Linked DNA regions of Saccharomyces cerevisiae S288C. The gene in region 1 interacts genetically with each later gene. Each region holds a gene or a part of one and is shown on either strand. Other genes may lie near its edges.

What was found. A genetic interaction does not mean that the proteins touch.
Region 2: mutations in TGL4 (region 1) and ERT1 together harm fitness more than expected from each alone (negative genetic interaction), as found in Saccharomyces cerevisiae (2 studies listed by BioGRID).
Region 3: of TGL4 (region 1) and TGL3, changing one enhances a phenotype caused by changing the other (phenotypic enhancement), as found in Saccharomyces cerevisiae (3 studies listed by BioGRID, with this or other methods).

The regions. Positions count from the first base shown.
Region 1 is NC_001143.9:602,586-611,362, reverse strand, and holds TGL4 (triacylglycerol lipase), read left to right. Parts: upstream 1-2,997; coding exon 2,998-5,730; downstream 5,731-8,777. Other genes in the region: PXL1 (Pxl1p), read right to left, coding at 297-2,417; TVP38 (Tvp38p), read left to right, coding at 5,945-6,958; OMA1 (metalloendopeptidase), read left to right, coding at 7,131-8,168; DEAH-box RNA helicase PRP16, read right to left, coding at 8,291-8,777. UniProt on the Saccharomyces cerevisiae protein: Lipid particle-localized triacylglycerol (TAG) lipase. The lipid droplet/particle is a lipid storage compartment which serves as a depot of energy and building blocks for membrane lipid biosynthesis.
Region 2 is NC_001134.8:697,854-703,543, forward strand, and holds ERT1 (Ert1p), read right to left. Parts: upstream 2,091-5,690; coding exon 501-2,090; downstream 1-500. Other genes in the region: THI2 (Thi2p), read right to left, coding at 2,637-3,989; VVS1 (Vvs1p), read right to left, coding at 4,736-5,690. UniProt on the Saccharomyces cerevisiae protein: Transcription factor which regulates nonfermentable carbon utilization. Activator of gluconeogenetic genes like PCK1. Involved in restriction of Ty1 transposition.
Region 3 is NC_001145.3:898,879-904,885, forward strand, and holds TGL3 (bifunctional triglyceride lipase/lysophosphatidylethanolamine acyltransferase), read right to left. Parts: upstream 2,430-6,007; coding exon 501-2,429; downstream 1-500. Other genes in the region: Elongator subunit ELP6, read left to right, coding at 1-348; PRE5 (proteasome core particle subunit alpha 6), read left to right, coding at 2,831-3,535; YMR315W (uncharacterized protein), read left to right, coding at 3,922-4,971; YMR315W-A (uncharacterized protein), read left to right, coding at 5,408-5,515; DIA1 (Dia1p), read left to right, coding at 5,947-6,007. UniProt on the Saccharomyces cerevisiae protein: Lipid particle-localized triacylglycerol (TAG) lipase. The lipid droplet/particle is a lipid storage compartment which serves as a depot of energy and building blocks for membrane lipid biosynthesis.

The DNA.
Region 1 (8,777 bases):
TGCACCGGTACGAGAATGTCCAAAAATAGAAATTCGCTACAATTAAATGACGCGTAAAAAAACAGTTAGAGGTAGTTGTTGAGAAGAAGACAACGTAGTGAATATGAGTGAATGATGTCTTTATAACTAACTAACTAATGACGACTAATGTTGTTGATACCATAGATAGGCAGATGCCTTTTTCCTGCGCTATACAATTTATAAATGAACAAGGCTGGCTAATAATATAAAAAATCAAAATCTTATTAAGAATGTTATGAAACATGTGTGCTAGGAAAGACAAATGGGTAGTGATGCTAGTTGAAGTTGATGAGCCTCGTTCTCCTTTTAGAGAGAGTATTGTTCTTATCATTGCTTGATGTAGCATTGTCGATACCTTCCTTCAAGAGAGCTTCCATGTCGTGATTACCGCACAATGGAATTTCCCCATTGAATATATAATAATCATTAGTAATGGCAGTCTTGCATAAGAAACAGTTTAGACAATCCACGTGGAATCGTTCCACCTTATCATTTTCCAGACATTCACCCTCTATGAAATTTGAACAAACCTTACAAATACTGTGATTCTCCTCGTGATAGTGCTTTTGACAATATGGTTCATCGCCTAGAATATAACAGGGAACATGTTTATTGAATTTGATACCACATTCAATGCATTTAAAACATTCACGATGCCATTGACCCGACAGTTCGTTTTCCTTTTTGGAAAACATTCTTTTCCCTGTGACTTCCAAGCCGCATGCTCTGCAAGGTCCCTCCCCAGGCGGATATTTAAACTCAATGGGCTCCGTTTCTTTATAATCTGCATCAGAGCTGTATCTCGTAGTGCCGCCGTTAGGTAATACATGAGAGTCATTAGATTTGGAATTATCAATTTCTTCTCTCAGATCTGTTATGTTGCGCTTATGCTGCAGTTGTAGTGCTTCAATTGTGGGAAGTTTCGTTCTGAAAGTTTCTTGCGAACCCATCCCTTCATTATTGGAGTATTCTACGTTCGACTGTTTAAACTTGTAAAAAATGGGTGTGCCACCATTAGTTGTAGATTCAGATGGCGCGTCTTCATCGACATCGCCTTTATCTACCAGAATAGTTTGTCTGGATAAGTTCGTATTGCTGTTTTGCACAATTGATGTTTGCTGCGTTACGGGTATATCCATGCTGGGATACCCAGATAAATATGCGCTTGACTTTTTGAATCTAGAAGCCTTTCTGTCCACTGCGTTGAGGCAATTGCCGTTCATATCGAGCTTTGCATTTCTAGATAGGGAAACATCGTCTAATTGAGCAATCAATTGTTCGACTTGGAGGTTCGTAGCAGTGTATGGTGTTTCCACGTTTTCTGAAGAAGTTATTGAAAGACGTTTCTCATTTAACCCATCAAGACTTAAATCTTCAACTTTTGTTGACGATGATGACACACCAGGTGATTTCTGTTCCTTTGAAGATTCCAGGCCAGAAAAGTTATCATCAGGATATATTTTAGAGTCTAGTGCGTTCATGGTTAAAGATGGTGTATTACTTTCCCTCGTAACATTAATTTCCGGAATTTTAGGTTCTGTATTCTTTTCCTCTTGTTTTGCTTCTGGAAAATCATCTTGAAGTGGTTCATTTTCAAGATTCATCTGTAGTTTAGGATCTGGTTCAAAATTTAGGCTTTCAATATCATTCTCATCCTCCTGCTGTCCTTCACTTTCATATTCGATTGAACTTTCCTCTTTTTGCTGTTCTTTTCCGAGTTTTTGGTCGAGCACACCTCTGTTATCGGTTTGGTTCATAGAATTTACAACGCTTGCAGTGTCATTTTGAGTCAGCATCATGAAACTTCTTTCAATAGGGCTCAAATCTTGTTCCCTTTCAGTATTACCAGCATCTTCTTGTTCGAAGTTGAAGGGGAAGTTATCTGCGGCTTGGAATTCCTTGTTAGCAGGTGATTTACATGTATGCCTAGAGGCAGCATATTGTTCCGCCTGACGGTCTAAGTCGCGTTCAAAACGGAAGGGATCCTCTTGCGAAGCACGCTCGCTGGGCCTGGAAATAGAACGAGATATGTCACTGGGTCTCGAAGACGTAAAATTGCTATTCTTTGGAGGAGTTACACTCCGCCTCTCGCTATTCTCCAATACGGGAGGCGGATAAATGTCAGACTCGCCCTTTACAGATGAATAAGCACTCTTTGAAGACGCCGTATACGCACTCTTCATCGTGACCGGAACAGATGGGGCGGCAGATACATTTCTTTGACGGGTTATTGGCGGCGACTTCACGGAAGCTTGTAAACTTCCAGTGGAAGCATTCCTCTGACTACTGAACGGATTACGCGGCTTAGTGTCAAACCCTGCTCTTTCTAGAGCAGTTTTGTAGCGGACCTTCGGATTTATTTTAGGGAAGGGGGACCCGTAGATTGAGTTATACATTGACTTGAGCGTTTCTTTTGCTAAATTTATTCTTGTTTTTCCCCTTACGTTATTCACTATAAGCTTTGAAGAAGCTTGAAAAAAATTCGGCTATAATATCCTATTCTAGCTGTATAAATTAAATATTCAACACAGCAGAAATATATTTTAAGGCTACCTCTTAAATTTGCAACACTCCAGCTTTTCTATTATTATTATTTACTTATTTTTTCATGTTTCCTATTATTCATGGAATTGAAAAAGGACGCGAATTGAAAATTTCGAAAGAAATAGGGCTAGGCGCTTCAAAAAGTCATTAGGTTTACTTACCAATATTAGTAGGTTAAATATTAGAAAAAAGGAAAAAAGATCTTAAGGGGTTTAAAAAAAGTAGGGTAAACTAGGGCTGACATATTACCCCTCTTATACGATAATTGCGACTATGAAACGCTAAACCACAATTATAAAGTATGGTTGATTCAAATTGTCATTATGTCATTATTGTACTCGTAAAAGAGGCCTGTATTCAAGTATTTGATCAAAAAAATTAGCGCTGTAATAATTATTGAAGGGAGTACAGGTATATGTAATAAAAGTCTGAATGAGCAGCAAAATATCAGATCTTACATCTACACAAAATAAGCCCCTCCTTGTTACGCAACAACTAATCGAAAAATATTACGAACAGATCCTGGGCACTTCCCAGAACATAATTCCTATTTTAAATCCGAAGAACAAGTTTATTAGGCCCAGTAAGGATAATTCAGATGTTGAAAGGGTGGAGGAGGATGCTGGTAAAAGACTGCAAACTGGCAAGAACAAAACTACGAACAAAGTAAATTTCAACCTGGATACTGGAAACGAGGATAAACTTGACGATGACCAAGAGACAGTAACAGAAAATGAAAATAATGATATCGAGATGGTTGAGACAGACGAAGGCGAAGATGAAAGGCAAGGGTCATCTTTAGCCAGTAAATGCAAATCATTTCTTTACAACGTTTTTGTGGGAAACTATGAAAGAGACATTCTTATTGACAAAGTCTGTTCACAAAAGCAACATGCGATGTCATTTGAAGAATGGTGTTCTGCGGGCGCCAGATTGGATGACCTCACTGGGAAAACAGAATGGAAGCAGAAATTGGAAAGTCCCTTGTATGATTACAAGCTAATAAAAGATTTAACATCTAGAATGCGTGAGGAGCGCTTGAATAGGAATTACGCTCAATTGTTGTACATCATTAGGACGAATTGGGTACGAAACCTGGGAAATATGGGGAATGTAAACCTATATAGGCACTCCCATGTAGGCACCAAATATTTAATTGACGAGTATATGATGGAGTCTAGGTTAGCGCTAGAATCTTTAATGGAGTCTGATCTTGATGATAGTTACCTTTTGGGTATACTGCAACAAACGAGAAGAAATATTGGTCGTACCGCTTTAGTTCTCAGTGGGGGTGGAACTTTTGGTCTTTTCCACATCGGTGTCCTTGGTACTCTATTTGAATTGGATTTATTACCCAGAGTGATTAGTGGTAGCAGTGCTGGTGCAATTGTAGCAAGCATATTATCTGTCCATCACAAAGAAGAAATTCCGGTTTTACTAAATCATATTTTGGATAAAGAATTCAACATTTTCAAAGACGATAAACAGAAAAGTGAAAGCGAGAATTTGTTAATAAAAATATCTAGGTTCTTCAAAAACGGTACGTGGTTTGATAACAAGCATCTGGTAAATACAATGATAGAATTTTTGGGAGATTTGACATTTAGGGAAGCTTACAATAGAACGGGTAAAATTTTGAATATAACCGTTTCGCCGGCATCTTTATTTGAACAACCGCGCTTGCTGAATAATTTGACTGCACCAAACGTCCTGATTTGGTCCGCCGTATGTGCATCATGTTCACTACCGGGAATTTTCCCCTCGAGCCCACTTTACGAAAAAGATCCAAAAACGGGAGAAAGGAAACCATGGACTGGTAGTAGTTCGGTCAAATTTGTCGATGGTTCTGTGGACAATGACTTGCCCATTTCTCGTCTTTCTGAAATGTTTAATGTAGACCATATTATCGCATGCCAGGTGAATATTCACGTATTTCCCTTTTTGAAACTATCACTATCCTGTGTTGGCGGGGAAATTGAGGACGAATTTAGTGCAAGATTAAAGCAAAACTTATCAAGTATATACAATTTTATGGCCAATGAAGCTATTCATATTCTAGAAATTGGAAGTGAGATGGGAATTGCCAAAAACGCGCTTACAAAACTGAGATCGGTATTATCTCAACAATATTCTGGTGACATCACTATTTTGCCCGACATGTGTATGCTTTTTAGAATAAAGGAGCTGTTGTCAAACCCAACAAAAGAATTTTTATTAAGGGAAATCACCAATGGTGCAAAAGCTACGTGGCCCAAGGTTTCCATTATTCAAAATCACTGTGGCCAGGAATTTGCTCTGGATAAGGCGATTTCTTATATCAAAGGTAGGATGATTGTCACCTCCTCTTTAAAAACCCCCTTCCAATTTGCTGATTCAGTCATTGGATTAATTAAAGCTCCAGAGCAAACGTCAGATGAGTCCAAAAACCCAGAAAATTCAACATTGCTAACTAGGACTCCAACCAAGGGTGACAATCATATTTCCAATGTTTTAGATGACAACTTATTAGAATCAGAATCGACAAACTCTTTGCTATTGTTACGTGAGAATGCAAGCACATATGGGCGGTCACCTTCCGGGTTTAGACCGCGGTATTCCATTACGTCCGCTTCTCTCAATCCGCGTCACCAAAGAAGGAAATCAGATACTATTTCAACTTCAAGGCGACCAGCCAAATCCTTTTCATTTTCAGTTGCTTCTCCCACATCAAGGATGTTGAGGCAATCCAGCAAAATCAATGGACACCCACCGCCAATTCTGCAGAAAAAAACAAGTATGGGCCGGCTAATGTTTCCTATGGATGCCAAGACCTATGACCCGGAAAGCCATGAACTTATCCCACATTCTGCCAGCATTGAAACACCTGCCATGGTAGACAAGAAATTGCATTTTGGCCGAAAGAGTAGATACTTGAGGCATATGAACAAAAAATGGGTCAGCAGTAGCAACATATTATACACAGATTCGGATAAAGAAGACCATCCTACATTGAGACTGATAAGTAACTTCGATTCAGACGCAATGATTCATAGTGATTTAGCGGGCAATTTCAGGCGTCATAGCATTGATGGAAGACCCCCTTCTCAAGCTACAAAGAGCTCACCGTTTCGATCGAGGCCTTCTTCTTCAACGCAGCACAAAAGCACCACCAGTTTTACTCAATAAGAAAACACGGGCTTGCTTATATATCCTCTAGATATTCTTTTTCATCTATGTATTTATTCGAATGGCCTTTCTCATTCATATCATTTTCAAAGCGGAAATCGAAATCATTGTTTTCTCTCGAGCTGCACTAAGAAAAAAAGCCACTTTACTAAAACAATACCTTCAACATATTTGAAAATATTATTATGGTGGAAGAAAGATATTGGTTACACAAATGAGTCAGTCTTACGAAGCAGGAAATGCCAATATGGGCCAAGGGGAGGATGATGAATTTGATGGCTATTTCGAAGACTTTGACAACGATATCATGCCAAATAGTAATAATGGACAAAGGGTTGGTACTAATGCTGGATTGTCATTCAATGACGAAGTAAATGTTAATGATGATGATTTTTTAGACATTTATAATATGTCCCCTAGAGAGAGATTGATGCATAATATCAGGAAGAATGTTCAAAAATTACAGTTTTATTTTTATTCACTACGCTTATGGCAACAGATTATCATTGTCCTCCTCGGCATAATGCTAATGATAATGGGTATATTGTTGCTCGTCTTCCATAATGCGATTTTACATAAAGTTGTTGTTACTTCGAACGATTTGAGAGAAAAGATGTCAACACATTTTATATTAATGGTTCTGATATTCTTTGTCGCATTTCCTCCTATGATTGGCTACTCCTTATTATCCACCACTACTGGGTTGATCTATGGTGTCAGTTTTGAGGGATGGGTTACGCTAGCTTTGGGATCTGTAACAGGTTCCATTGCCTCTTTCGTTGTGTTCAAGACGATCTTGCATTCAAGAGCAGAAAAGCTTGTGCATTTGAATAGAAGATTTGAAGCATTGGCTTCAATTTTACAAGAAAACAATAGCTATTGGATTCTAGCTCTACTGAGATTATGTCCCTTCCCATATTCTTTGACTAATGGTGCCATAGCTGGTGTTTACGGTATCTCGGTACGCAACTTTTCCATTGCCAACATAATAACCACACCAAAGCTGTTCATCTATCTATTTATAGGTTCTCGTGTAAAGAGTCTCGCAGAATCTGAATCTACAGGATCTAGGGTATTTGACTTGGTAAGCATTATTATCACATTATTAATCCTAAGTCTTACAGCATGGCTCTTATACTTCAAGACTAAGAAGAGATATTTAGAACTACAAAACCGCGACCGTCAAGTGTCCACTGATCAACTACCTGAATTGTCTTTTGAGGTCTAATCCTCCGTATACGTTTATATATGTTTAGATAAGTTGGTTTTATATGGGTAACCCAAATTACTATTTCTACTTCTTTCTACGTCCGATATAAAGAACTTAAAAGACAAAAAGCAGTTTTTCGAAGCGACATCAACCAATCTAAGTTAAGGTATGGAAAGATAAAATACAAGAAATGTTACGCAACATCATCAGGTTCAAAGGATTTGGAAAAGGGACCAGTGGAGGATTTTTAAAACCTGTATCATTTCGTGTTCAGTTAACGCGATGTTACCGCTATGACAATGGTCCTTCATATCGTCGATTTAATAATGGAGAGTATTCCCAAAAATCATCGTTTAAAAGCATTCTTCTCGATAAGTCATCAAGAAAATACTTAGCTTTATTATTTGGTGGATGCTCTCTCTTTTATTATACACATTTGGATAAAGCACCGGTAAGCGATAGGTCCAGGTTCATCTGGGTATCGCGTCCATTAGAGTTAACTATCGGAAATTACACATACAAATCAATTTGGAGACAAACGCAGCAGGAAATATTACCTCCACAGCATCCGCTGTCCATCAAAATTGAGAATATTTTCATGAAAATTGTCGAAGCTGCTTATAAGGACCCTAGTGTAGACAACTCACTACTGGACGGAATCAAGTGGGAAATTCATGTGGTCAATGATCCAACTGCTTCACCAAATGCATTCGTTTTACCAGGGGGTAAGGTCTTTATATTCAGCTCTATTTTACCTATTTGTGCTAATGATGATGGGATTGCCACTGTTTTAGCACACGAATTTGCTCATCAGCTAGCAAGACACACAGCCGAAAATTTGTCGAAGGCTCCTATATATTCTCTTTTGGGTTTGGTGTTATATACTGTTACTGGAGCTCATGCTATCAACAATATACTATTGGATGGGTTTTTGCGAATGCCAGCATCAAGACAGATGGAAACCGAAGCTGATTACATTGGCCTGATGATAATGTCAAGGGCATGTTTTCAACCACAGGAGTCAATAAAAGTGTGGGAAAGAATGGCAAATTTTGAAAAGCAAATGAATAGAGGGGGTGTTGTGAATATGGAGTTTCTAAGTACACATCCAGCAAGCACTCGTAGAATAGAGAATATGTCGAAATGGTTGCCAAAAGCTAATGAAATTTATGAACAATCTGATTGTAGCAGTATGGGTAACTATTATAAAAGTTTTTTCTCAATGTAAGCACTCCACGAGTTATGCTCTTTTCTTTTGTACCCAATAAATAACCCTTTGTTTTATGCATGCATATAACTATATAATAACATATATGAATATTTTGCCTATTAGCACGCTCTTCCCATAAACTAAAAAAAAGGCTTCCTTCTTTTGAAAGGTTTCATTGAATTTTCTTTGCCGTTCAGTATATTTTGCTTTTTCGTTTTTTGCTTTTTGTCTTCTTTGTTTGAATTGTCGGTCATTTTGAGCTCCTGTATCACACTGTCTCTCATATCCTTACATCTCCTAATATTGATATCAATATCATCTTCAACCTTGTCCAGAGTATGTTCATAGTGTTCACCAAAGAGGCCTGTAGTTGTGGCCTCCTGATCATTTTTAATACGCTTGATGTCGTAGAGTAACCCACCATATTCCATTAACCAGAATGGATCTACAGAAGTAACACAACAAATGTATTCTTTGCTAGTCATTAATAATTCATGATATACCACGTAAGGGGGTAAATCCCCCAATCCGTGTAATGCACTTGTAGGGTGTAGTTGAACACTTACGCCAGTTTTTAAATGAACGTAATTTCGTAGTCCTGTTATTTTGGCTGCTTGATGAGCAAAT
Region 2 (5,690 bases), on another chromosome or scaffold:
CCAGTTAGGTACCATGTGGCATGCTGTTTTTCCGCAGTTCGTTATGTAAGGTGGAAGGCGGTGGTGTGTGAGACATGCCCTGTGAGACATTGGAAACTCATGCGTACAGAAAGTGAAACTAGCTCAATTGGTTGAGTTTTTTGATGGTATACGCCTGATGTTTTTTTCGACAACAGGTGAGTGAAATAAAACGAAGAGCAAAAAAAGAAGAAGAAATTTAAGAAAAAAAAAAAAAAAAAGGGAAGAAAAACGGAGCTACCCAATATCGGAAGATTCGTAAAGGCCGCCATATACACAATAGGGGCCCTTCGTTATATGTGCTCGAGCCTCTGGATATCGACCAGAATGAGCAGACGCCTACGAAACTGGTCAAGGCTTCAAGTAAAATTGCTGGAATCTGTTAACACTTTTAAAAGAACACAGTTCTTGACTTACTTTTGGTCTATGCATAGGTATTATATAATACGAGGTAGTAAAATGAGAAAAAAAGAAAAAAAAAGTCAATTGAGTATGGGCATGAAGTTACCCAAGATCATGAGGGGCAAACCAGAGACATCTCTTTTTAATGTCCACATACAGCAACAATGAATTATCTTGCCCTTGATGGGGCTTAAGAGCCTGCAAACTTTCATCTTCTCAGATCCTCTGAAGTCCCTATATGCAACTTTAGAGAGCGTTTTGAAGTAATCGCGTACACTTTCATCGTCCATGATCTCTACGATAAAAGTCATCTTGTTTAGTAGCTCCTCTCTTGTCCATCCGCATAGAATTTCAAATTCCTCGTTGACATAAGAAATTTGACCATTTCTTCGCCAAATACATGTCGGGGTACCGATTTGTGCAATAAATTTTACATATTCTAATAGAGTTCTTTGGTAGCATTGCTCCATAAAAATCATGTCCTCCTCGGTTAAAGTTACAGAACACGCAATGAAAATGGGCCGGAATTCGGCAATGGACCGACACATCTTCACCAGATCCTGCTGGTTGAATCGATGCTTTAGGTACACCAAAAGATGGTGGAATCCAGGTGTATGCGAAAAGGGGGCATTTATGGAGGTGTATATTTCCATTGGAGTAGAATAACGTAATGAATGTTCCCATTCTACATTGCTCTTGATGTTGGCAGCGTCTGGTGAACAGCTTTCCAGGGATACAGAGACCAAATGGTTTTTCCTCCGCTTTAAGGGGATAGCCAACTCGGGAAATGTTACCGTTTCGCTGTTCAAGTAATATTGGTTTATGCTTGAGTCCCAATTAATTTGGGAGCTCTTTTCAGATGGGTCCCGTGGCAATAATCTTTTAAAGTTTAAGGAATTATCAGCTGAATCAACGGGCACTAAGGGGAAATGGTTCGCGAAAAGATTAACTTGCGAAGCTACAATCTTGGCTGAATTTGGTCCCAGTAGAATAGAATAAACGTTTTGATTGGAAGATGGATACGGATGTGGGGGTATGTTTGCTCGCTGTTCGCTGTACAACTGGCGAATTTTCTCCATTTCTGTTTCTTCAGGGCTTGTATTTGTGCCCGTAGGGCTATTGTTACTGCTATTGCCTATTGTGGAGTTGGATGTGGAATTGGTGTTGGAGTACAGGATGTCAATAGGGATCTTGTTAGACAATGTGTCTTGATAGATGATATTCGACAGAATAGAGTACTCGGAATCTGCAGCATTCGATAGGAATTTAGCTTTGTGAACTATATGTTGTGGGCTGGTGAATTTTTGCTGTTCTCCCATGTTATTTACGTTGAGGCTACTATTGCTGGAGTTGTTATAAATGGGTATCATGATCTTGCGGGGTGGAAGGTCCGGTTGTATGTTCATTGGGAGCTCTCTATTCGGTATTCCAGCCAAGTACTTGCTTTTCTTTCTTGGAGCGTCAACGCATGTAGCCGTGAGGCCCTTGCTGATACATCGTAAGCATGGCCTTTTGGCCTCACATGACACATGCAATCTCGAACAGTTCACGCATGCCACGTTTGTGTTTTTTCTCTTTTTTCTCTTCTTTTTTTCGAGAGTATGATTTGTATTTGCAGATGTATCTGGGTCAGTTGATGTTTTGTAATCGTTTTCATCTGGAGTGCACATCACGATGATTCATCAATGTATTTTATTTTTATACCTTCGTGTGTCTGTTGTACCCAAAAGAAATGATAAAAATAGCTCAAGAGTATCCTGACTTTATATAACTAGCAATTTTATCTAAGAGAGTAATGCCGTTGCACCGGCTCTTGTTTAGTTTTTTTATGTGGTTACTCTTTTACAATATACTAAAATTGCAACTCATTTGCTTTTTTCATTTCTTTTCCTTCAATTTTTTTTTTTTTTTAGTCTACGGCTAACAAAAAGCATAGGCTCAGAATGATAGATAGATATCCGATAAATGTCAGTAAAGACAAAGAAATCAGTAAAATAAACGTTTCACCCTGGCAGATAGGAAACCCTATCTCCCAGTGATAAACTTTAATTTTTTTTCGTGCATATATATATATACATATATAATATAAAACAAAATATCATGAATTTCTATCTAAAGTAGTGGGAAAAAATATGTCGTTAAAAATGGGTATAATATCCAAGCAAAGCTTTTGGCTTTTTTTTTCTTGAAATGAGTGAAGGGAAGGCTCAATAAGCCTAGTCCTGCATGGCATATACATCCTTGTAAAATTGTTGATTACACTTCAGTTGTAGCTGCCAGTACCGCAGTTGGGAACATGAAAGTGTGGTATCTTGACATGAGCAAAGTTGTTGCAATATTGTATCTTTCCAACTATTCACTAGGCGCTCCGTGACCAAGACATGTAACTCCGACGTAAGCTCGTCCTGGTAGGGATCCTCGAATAAGTCGGCATTCCCTAGCAATCCATTACAATGGTACAGGACGTCTAAATCTTGTGTATTGTTTATGATAAAGTTGACCAGCGGATACATCGAAAATCTCAATAGCTTTTGCTGGAGAAACCACACTCTTAGAAGCTTTGTCAAGTTGGGGCAGGTATATCCATGAATGATGACCAGCATTGTTATAGCTATGGATTGCCAATCGACACAACTCCAACGAGCGATGCACTCTTTGAACAGGCACGAGGCCATATTGATGTCCGGGTCGTCAATTATTTTCCCAAGGAAGCGTATGAATTCCGTGGTCAACGAGTTCCTCATCTTATTGATGAACCACGTCGTGTATTCTTGTCGGTTCAATATCATGTTCCCGTAGCAATTAAACCATAGGATCCCGAAAATTTTGCCTTGGATAATATCGATCAAAGAGGTGCTGTCTTCTGGCGGCGATGACAGCGCTGCAGTAGTGGTTTCCTCTGCTGACGACATCGAATGACCCGGCGACGGCAGCTGATCTGTAAGAGCAGAGGTAACTGCAGCCGGATTGGCCCTGAAAACTGAGTAAGGCCCGTGTTTGGAGCAATTGAGGTTGACCACAGATATGTCGTTTTCCACCATATTAAGCAATTCGTCCAACTTCTTGTCTATGCGCTTTTGAGTATAATCTCTATTTGTCATGCTACCAAAGACAGAGGCCACAGCGTTATTGTATATCTTCAATCTCCGTACGCTTATGGTGAATGTATTATCGTTAGGAAGCGTAGTTTCCTTACTTGCCTCGTGCACGCTGTCTTCGCAGTCACTTGTCGGGGGTGATAGTTGTCTAAAATGGGTCATTTGTTTAAACCTTGATTTTGAGATTTTCTGGCACAATGGTTTCGATTTCGATTTGCGAGCCTGTAATGAACTGATCAGTGAATGCTTGCGTACTTTGTAGATGTTCTCCTCTAACCACATAAGTCTGATATCGTAACTACAATTATCTCCATGTTTGGCACACAGTGAACAGATTGGTCTATTCTCGTCGCATCTGCGTTTCTTGAATCTGCATGCCCAGCACCCAGTAAATGTCCTCCCCTTGGTGGGGGGCACTTTGGAGGATGACGCTACTTTCTTGCTTCTCTGCTGCCTCTTACTATTGACCATTTGGTTCTAGTGCGGATATATATATAGGCTATATATATACGTGGTGAAATGAAATGAAAACGCTTTTAAAGTGTGCAGAAATTGTTATAGCTCTAACCCGTAGTATTAGTTCCCCATATAATTCCGACCGAGAAAGGTGCACCCACTTGTCATACAAATTGTACATATATATATATATATATATATATATATATATATATGTATATATTATACCTGCAAGCAATTGCACGCGAGTACTCTGCGTGAGTCAAAAGACTGTGGTAAAATGGTACCCATCTGATGCAGGAATTCCGACTCTTTCAAGCTAAATGCCGTTTCATTTTGGCACGGATGCATTCGCAGATTGGTTGGAAATCCGCATACATCAAATGCGCCAAGAGGGCTGCCATTGTATATTCCTTTTCTCGGCAGTCCTGCCGGATGCATTTATGCCGCTAAGACGCAGAACCGAATATTGGGCTCAGGAAAATATGCAGATAGACGCTCGCCCGTGAGCGACTCATGACGCGCGTGTGCTATTTTGGCCCCGGCAGTACAAGCGGTAGTCATGGTTTCCGCCACACGGATCTCATACAACAGCAATCCATTTGGTTTGCCTAGTTCCGTACATATACATAGATACTAACTAAATGAGTGCATATACTCATGTAGCCGTTCGTTACTAGAAGAAGAAGAAAATAAAAAACAGATGAATAGCTAGAAAGAAGTAAAAAATAGTTGCTTAGGTATATATGACTGGCTACAGATCAGTAGCCAGCCCAAACCTCGCTGTATGTAGTCTTGCCCTTTGTCTCGGGTACACGCTTGTACACATATGTAGCAAACATGGCAGCGATGGCGGCGAAGATCGCAAATACGTAGCCGCCCATGAGGCCGTGGCCTATCGGGAAGAGGTATCCGACGATGAAGGTGGCAAGCCAGTTGCACACAGTACCAAAACTTTGAGCTGTAGCGGCATCCTGCGGGTAGGATAGCTCACCAATGATCAAGAAGGGGATGGGTCCCAGACCGATGGCGAATGCGGCAATATAGACAAAAGTGGCCGTGACCAGTAAAAAGGATACGCTCAAGGTGAGACCTACACTGATCAGCAGCGACATGGCGGTCATCACCGTAGTCGAGGCAAGCAATAATGGACGGCGCCCGACGTGGTCGATGATCGCAGATGCTGCTAGAGTGACAACGACATTGAGGATGGAAATGGCAAAATTTACCTGAATCGAGTAGTCCGGTAGAATCTTGCCGATCACTTTTACACCGTAGAAGATAATAGAGTTGATGCCGCAAAATTGCTGGCACGACAAGATGGCGAGTATAACTGTGCGCGGTTTCTTGTATGAGGGATCGGTAACATATTGCCATAGTGTGGGTCCTGAATGAGTCTCTTCGCTTGACTCCGGGTCGCGGTTGTGCCCATGGCTACGCTGCCAATCCTGAATTTCTTGCTTCGCTTGTTGGTACGTTCCTGGACGCAACTTGAACAGAGCAGTTTCAGCTTCCGAGACGAATCCGTGGCTCACCAGCCACCTTGGAGATTCGTCCACTTTGAGCCAAGCTAAAATATTCGCTACCGCAATCACGGATCCGGAAAAGAGAAGCCACCTCCAGTTATAGGAGTCTGCGTACTTGAGTGCCAAGGTTTGGGTCAGCAGGATACCTAGATTGATAGAAACCTGATTCATAGATCCCATAGCGCCTCTC
Region 3 (6,007 bases), on another chromosome or scaffold:
AGCGGCCTAACTTGTTCAGAATTAAACAATAAGTTCATCACACCTCTTTTGAGGCAATGCAAAGTGCTAATCATTGTTTCCAATTCGGACATATTTAATATAGATGAATACGATGCTTCTGTTCATTCCTCGAATCTGCAAAATTTCTACAAATCTTCCTTTATCAAATCAATGATTAATTTGAACTTGAATCCTCTGAAGACCGGTTTTGCAAAGGACGTAACCGGCTCATTGCACGTTTGCAGGGGCGGCGCACCCATTGCAACTTCAAACACAAGCCTACACGTCGTTGAAAATGAATACCTATATCTGAATGAGAAGGAGTCAACAAAACTATTTTATCGCTAAATAATGATAAGATTATATACGAGGCACATTGATTCTCGTATTATTGTTTTTTCTATGAACTGAATATATTTTTAAGTACAATATCAATGAAAAATATATGCAATCGAGCTCTATCAATAAAAAAAATAAGACAGAAAAAAGTGGAAACGATACTACCTACTCCGTCTTGCTCTTATTATGTCGTCTAATTTAAATTCGACTGCACATCTTGTCTTAATTAAAGCTAGTGCGGGCCATGTACTTCGTTCACCAGATTTTATCCAGTATGGAATGTTGTTTAGTTGACCTTCAATAATCCTTGTTAATGATAGACTTTTCATCCTTGGTACCACAGCAATCTCCGTAGCTGATCTGGGAGTCTTTTCATCAATTATTAGTCTTTTTATTAATGAGCACAACAGGCCTAAATTATCCAATACCTCCATCCTATGTCGAAATTCCATAGTGGCAATATTTTTTAATTTTCTTTCCAGATGATACTTAAATTTAAACGCCAGCGGTTCCATTTCAGTAAAGTTCAACTGCGGTATGCCCAATTCTGGGATTATGTACTCTGCTGAATCGTTGACTGCCGAACTTGGGGGCACAGGGCTCATTAAAGGCTCTGGCTCAAGATCCTCGACAGTTCCTGCCTTTATGGGTGATTGCGAAGAGGATCTCTGTGTTTTTCTTACTGTATTCGCGTTTATAGGAGGCATATTTGGATAATGCTTATAATAGTAATATTTTGACGTTTTTATTTCATGCTTCAAATCATTTACCACCAATGGTGCCAAGTATGGTCTCGCCAAAGAAACAATGAAGTTATTAACATTGAATAGTTCCGTTAACCTAGTATAGGGGCTCTCCGTTATGCTCGGATTGTTGGCATTTTCTGGGGTAAGAAATTTGACTTGTTTATTTTTATTGATGTTAAGAAAAGGCTCAATTTCATTTTCTAAATTTTTACATAATAGTGATGTATCCTCTGAAATTACACCAGAACCAAGTGAGCATTCAATGGCTGACTTGATTAATACGTTTGGGGTTGTCACATAATTTAGTAAATTAGGGCATGATTTATCAGTTGGATGAATAACAATATTGAAAACTTTTCCAGTAATTTGATAAACTTCTTCAAAAGTTTTTTCCTTAACAATATATTTCATAACAAACCGGATAAAAAGATAAACGTCTTGAGAATAACCGTGGTGTATTAGGTTCTGAATCAAAGTCCCCAGGTTTAGGTGCTGCTCTAAATTACCGTATCCACAGCTTTTTAATAAATCTACATCATTCTTGATGATATTCAAGAGGTTGTCATCGGTCAATAATTGCTTTAGTTGCTCATTGGACAAGCAACCGAATAAACTTGCAACGCATGCCCCCATAGAGCTACCACTTATAATATTAGGCATCAGGTCCTGTAACAATAAACCTCTAATCACCCCAAGGTGAAACAGCCCAAACAATGAACCACCTTGCAAGATTAATGCTGTTGTGCCCAGTGACAACTTACATCTTTGGAAAAAGGATGTTGGAGTTAAAGTTTGATTATTTAATATATCCAAGCCTTCTAGAATTCGGGTCAAATATTGTTCAATAAGTAGCTTTGTACCCATCAAAGATTTTGTGAACAACTTTTTATCTCCAATACCCGCAAAGTTCCTCAACATACAAGGGCCTGTAGTCGAAAACTTCTCCTTAACTACATCATACTTCTCCTCCCTTAACATATTTTCCAATATGCTATATTGTTCAATGACAGAATTGAAGTCGTACCTCCTCGAAAAGAAATTCCGCCGCCATAAATTTGCGCCTGTTATTTCATCCACTACGGACGCTTGCTGACACCACATTTGATACGTATCACACTCATCTAACTTCTTAATAGCGTTATAATAAATGACTCTTGAGTGTGGCCGCACATAGTTAATCAGCTTTTGAACCCAGAAGAAATAAATATCGGTGATGACATGTAGAATTTCCCACACAAAAGGAGGTATATGGTCCAATGTGGCATACACTACACGCAGTATCCAGTTTTTCAAAAGGGTCGGTATTACAGCAGACACCTTGTATTCCTGCGCCGTTTCCTTCATGCTTAACGGCAACTCAAAGATGTGATATATGAATAGATGATTCCCTTACTATTGTGTCATAGTACTTCTCTATGTAATCAGTACTAATTTCTATTAGCTGCTACCCAGAAAAAAAAAAACATAAGAAAAAAAGGGTTAGGGTTGAATTTTCAGACCTAGGATAAGTATCTCCGAAATTACTAAAAACCTAGTATTTATTAAAATGCCCTACTAAAAAAGTAAAAATGACCTATAAAGAACATACCCTATTATAGAGTGGCAAAATTAAAAATTCAAAAGTATCGTCAAAGTATGGAAAAGAACCAAGACGCCACTACATTTAGGTAGACGTGGTGATCAATTGAAGTTCAAGAGAAGTGGGTAAGAATACATTGAACTAAGCCTTCATATATTTACAAAACATGTTCAGGAACAATTACGACGGGGACACAGTCACTTTTTCTCCTACAGGCCGTCTGTTCCAAGTGGAATACGCCTTGGAAGCTATTAAACAAGGGAGCGTCACTGTGGGGTTACGTTCGAACACTCATGCTGTTTTAGTAGCGTTGAAAAGAAATGCAGACGAATTGTCATCATACCAGAAAAAAATCATCAAATGTGACGAGCACATGGGGCTCTCGTTAGCCGGGTTGGCTCCAGATGCTAGAGTTTTAAGTAATTATTTGAGACAACAGTGTAATTACTCCAGCTTAGTTTTTAACAGAAAGCTTGCCGTCGAGAGAGCAGGTCATTTGCTTTGCGATAAAGCACAGAAAAATACACAATCCTATGGGGGCAGACCCTACGGTGTTGGTTTGTTGATCATCGGGTATGACAAGAGCGGTGCTCATCTTTTAGAATTCCAACCTTCCGGAAATGTCACAGAACTATATGGTACAGCTATTGGCGCAAGAAGCCAAGGGGCAAAGACTTATCTAGAGAGAACTTTAGACACGTTTATAAAAATTGACGGGAACCCGGATGAACTAATCAAAGCTGGCGTCGAGGCTATCAGCCAGTCTCTAAGGGACGAATCCTTGACTGTAGACAATCTTTCAATCGCCATCGTGGGTAAGGATACGCCTTTTACAATTTACGATGGAGAAGCTGTTGCTAAATACATCTAGGTCTGGACACAAAGTATCGTTTCCACTAAGCAATTGTCAAAGCAAGACCAAAGAAGCCTTTCACCACGGTCGGGGTTTTTTTACATATAAAGATAATAATAGATTAACTTAGTACGTAGTCTCACTTCTCATTCAAAATTAAAAAAGACGTGGCTTCCAAATCAACTAATAACCCCGCTTAATTCCGCCCTCCGCCGGGGAATAAACGGAGTTATCCCCTGTTGAAAATTCAGCATGATTATGTATCACAATACATAGGTGTTCGTCTATAAAAAGAACTACTTATTCTGGATAAACTTTCGAACTCGCTCAAACCTATTTGTTTCTGTACATCGAATAGACCCATAATCACTTCTTGGTTCCAAAAAGTAAAGTAATAGCCAAAAATGTCCCCATTGAACGTCGGTATAGTTGGTACAGGTATTTTTGCCAGAGATAGACATCTCCCATCCTACCAGGAATTTCCTGACAAATTCAAAGTCATTGCCGCCTTCAACAGACATAAGGCAAAAGCTTTGGATTTTGCAAAGGTTGCTGACATACCTGAAAATAAGGTTTACGACAATCTAGATGAAATTTTGAATGACCCTCATGTCGACTACATTGACGCTTTGCTACCTGCTCAATTTAATGCTGATATTGTCGAGAAGGCAGTTAAAGCAGGTAAGCCAGTTATTTTGGAAAAACCAATTGCGGCCAACTTAGACCAAGCAAAGGAGATTGTCAAGATAGCAGAATCCACCCCATTGCCCGTTGGTGTGGCTGAAAATTGGTTATATTTACCATGTATTAAAATCGCAAAGGAGCAGATCGAGAAAATTGGTCCTGTAGTAGCATTCACCCACAATTCTACCGGTCCATTTGTTACTCAAAATAAATATTTGACCACAACCTGGAGACAAAAACCAGAGCACATTGGCGGATTTCTATCTGATGGTGGTGTCCACCAATTAGCTCTCGTTATTTCCCTACTCGGTGAATTTGGATCTGTTTCTGCATTAACGAGACAGGTGCGTGAACGTTCCGGTGCAGATGATATTGTCTTTGCTACTGTCCAGTTGAAAAATAAAGAGGTTATCGGAAGTTTTACTTATGGGTCTGCCTTTGGTGCTACCGAAAAGTCGGTTTTCTTGAAAGTCTATGGTAAGAATGGTACCGTTACCGTTGACTTATCAGACAAAAAAGACCCCGTTGTAAAAGTCAAATTAGGGGGTTCAGCTGAAGATAACGGTGACGAACAAATTTTTAAAGTCGATAATGATGAAAGTTTCGGCGTCAACGCTGAATTTTTGAATTTTCACGAAGCTGTCAGCAAGAAGGACAAATCCTTATACCTAGGCACACCCAGAACTGCATTTCACCATTTGGCTTGTGTGGACGCGTTTTTAAAATCTTCTGCCAAGAATGGTGACTACGTTAAAATTGAGCAGCCATGATTACCGTTTTACGATGTAACGCTTTTTTAACCTTAATAGATAGATTCCCTCATATATTTATAACTATGTACCCACATAAGTATACTTTTGGAATGATAATACTAACGAGATAAAAAACCGTTGAAAAATTTCTAAGTTTTCTTGAACTAAAAATAGCCAAAATTCTCCATCCACTTGTTGTTGCAAAATGTTACGAAGGCGAGGTTCTTGGAAATCTGGATGATTATGGGAAAATTCGTTCAACAAGAACGCCGAGCCTGGACGAAATACTTAGTCGGCATGGAACTAGTTATGAATGACTTTTCCTATATAAGATCTACAACCGTTTCCAATTCACCATGAGATATATATATGTTTAACGAATCAGGTACTCGTCCGAAGCATTTCGAGTAATGCAACCCCACAAGTGTCCCCCAAGAATTCACTGGGATTTTTGATGACCGAAAGAAAGCTATTGCAGCTGCTACGGCGTCCTTTCATCTCCCTTTCTTTATTCACGGCCTTAAGAGCTTGTCCGCTTCGCCCCAAAAGCCTAATTGCTTAGAGCATGAGAGTTGAAAACGACCAGAAGTGTCGTTTTAGGTAAGCATTCGGCCATAATGAACAGTAAGTTTGTCCGAAAAATACACCGCTAGGGTTCGATAACGAAGAGCGCATATCAATTGCGTTGTCGACTTAATTGCTCTCTTAGTACAACGGTATGTGTCAGTGATAAAATCCTACCGGTTCCACTTTTTGTGAGCGATAGATGACGGAACGTATGCGCCTATTTCTTTTTTTTGGCGCAGCAAGGGACAATGGTCCCTTTTTGAGAAAATGTTGTAGGCTTGGCCATCGGCGTGAACGCATATAAAAAGAAGACTGCCAACATGACAGTATTTGAAACAACTACAGATTTGGCAAAGTTCGCCAAGATAAAGAAGACCGAAGCAGGTGCTAAGCTTCCATTAAAAGTTTTTCAAGAAAAATCTGATTATGGGTTCAATAAGTAGATACCTTCTTAAGAAAGCAGCAGATGGGCTTAAAGATGAGCAGA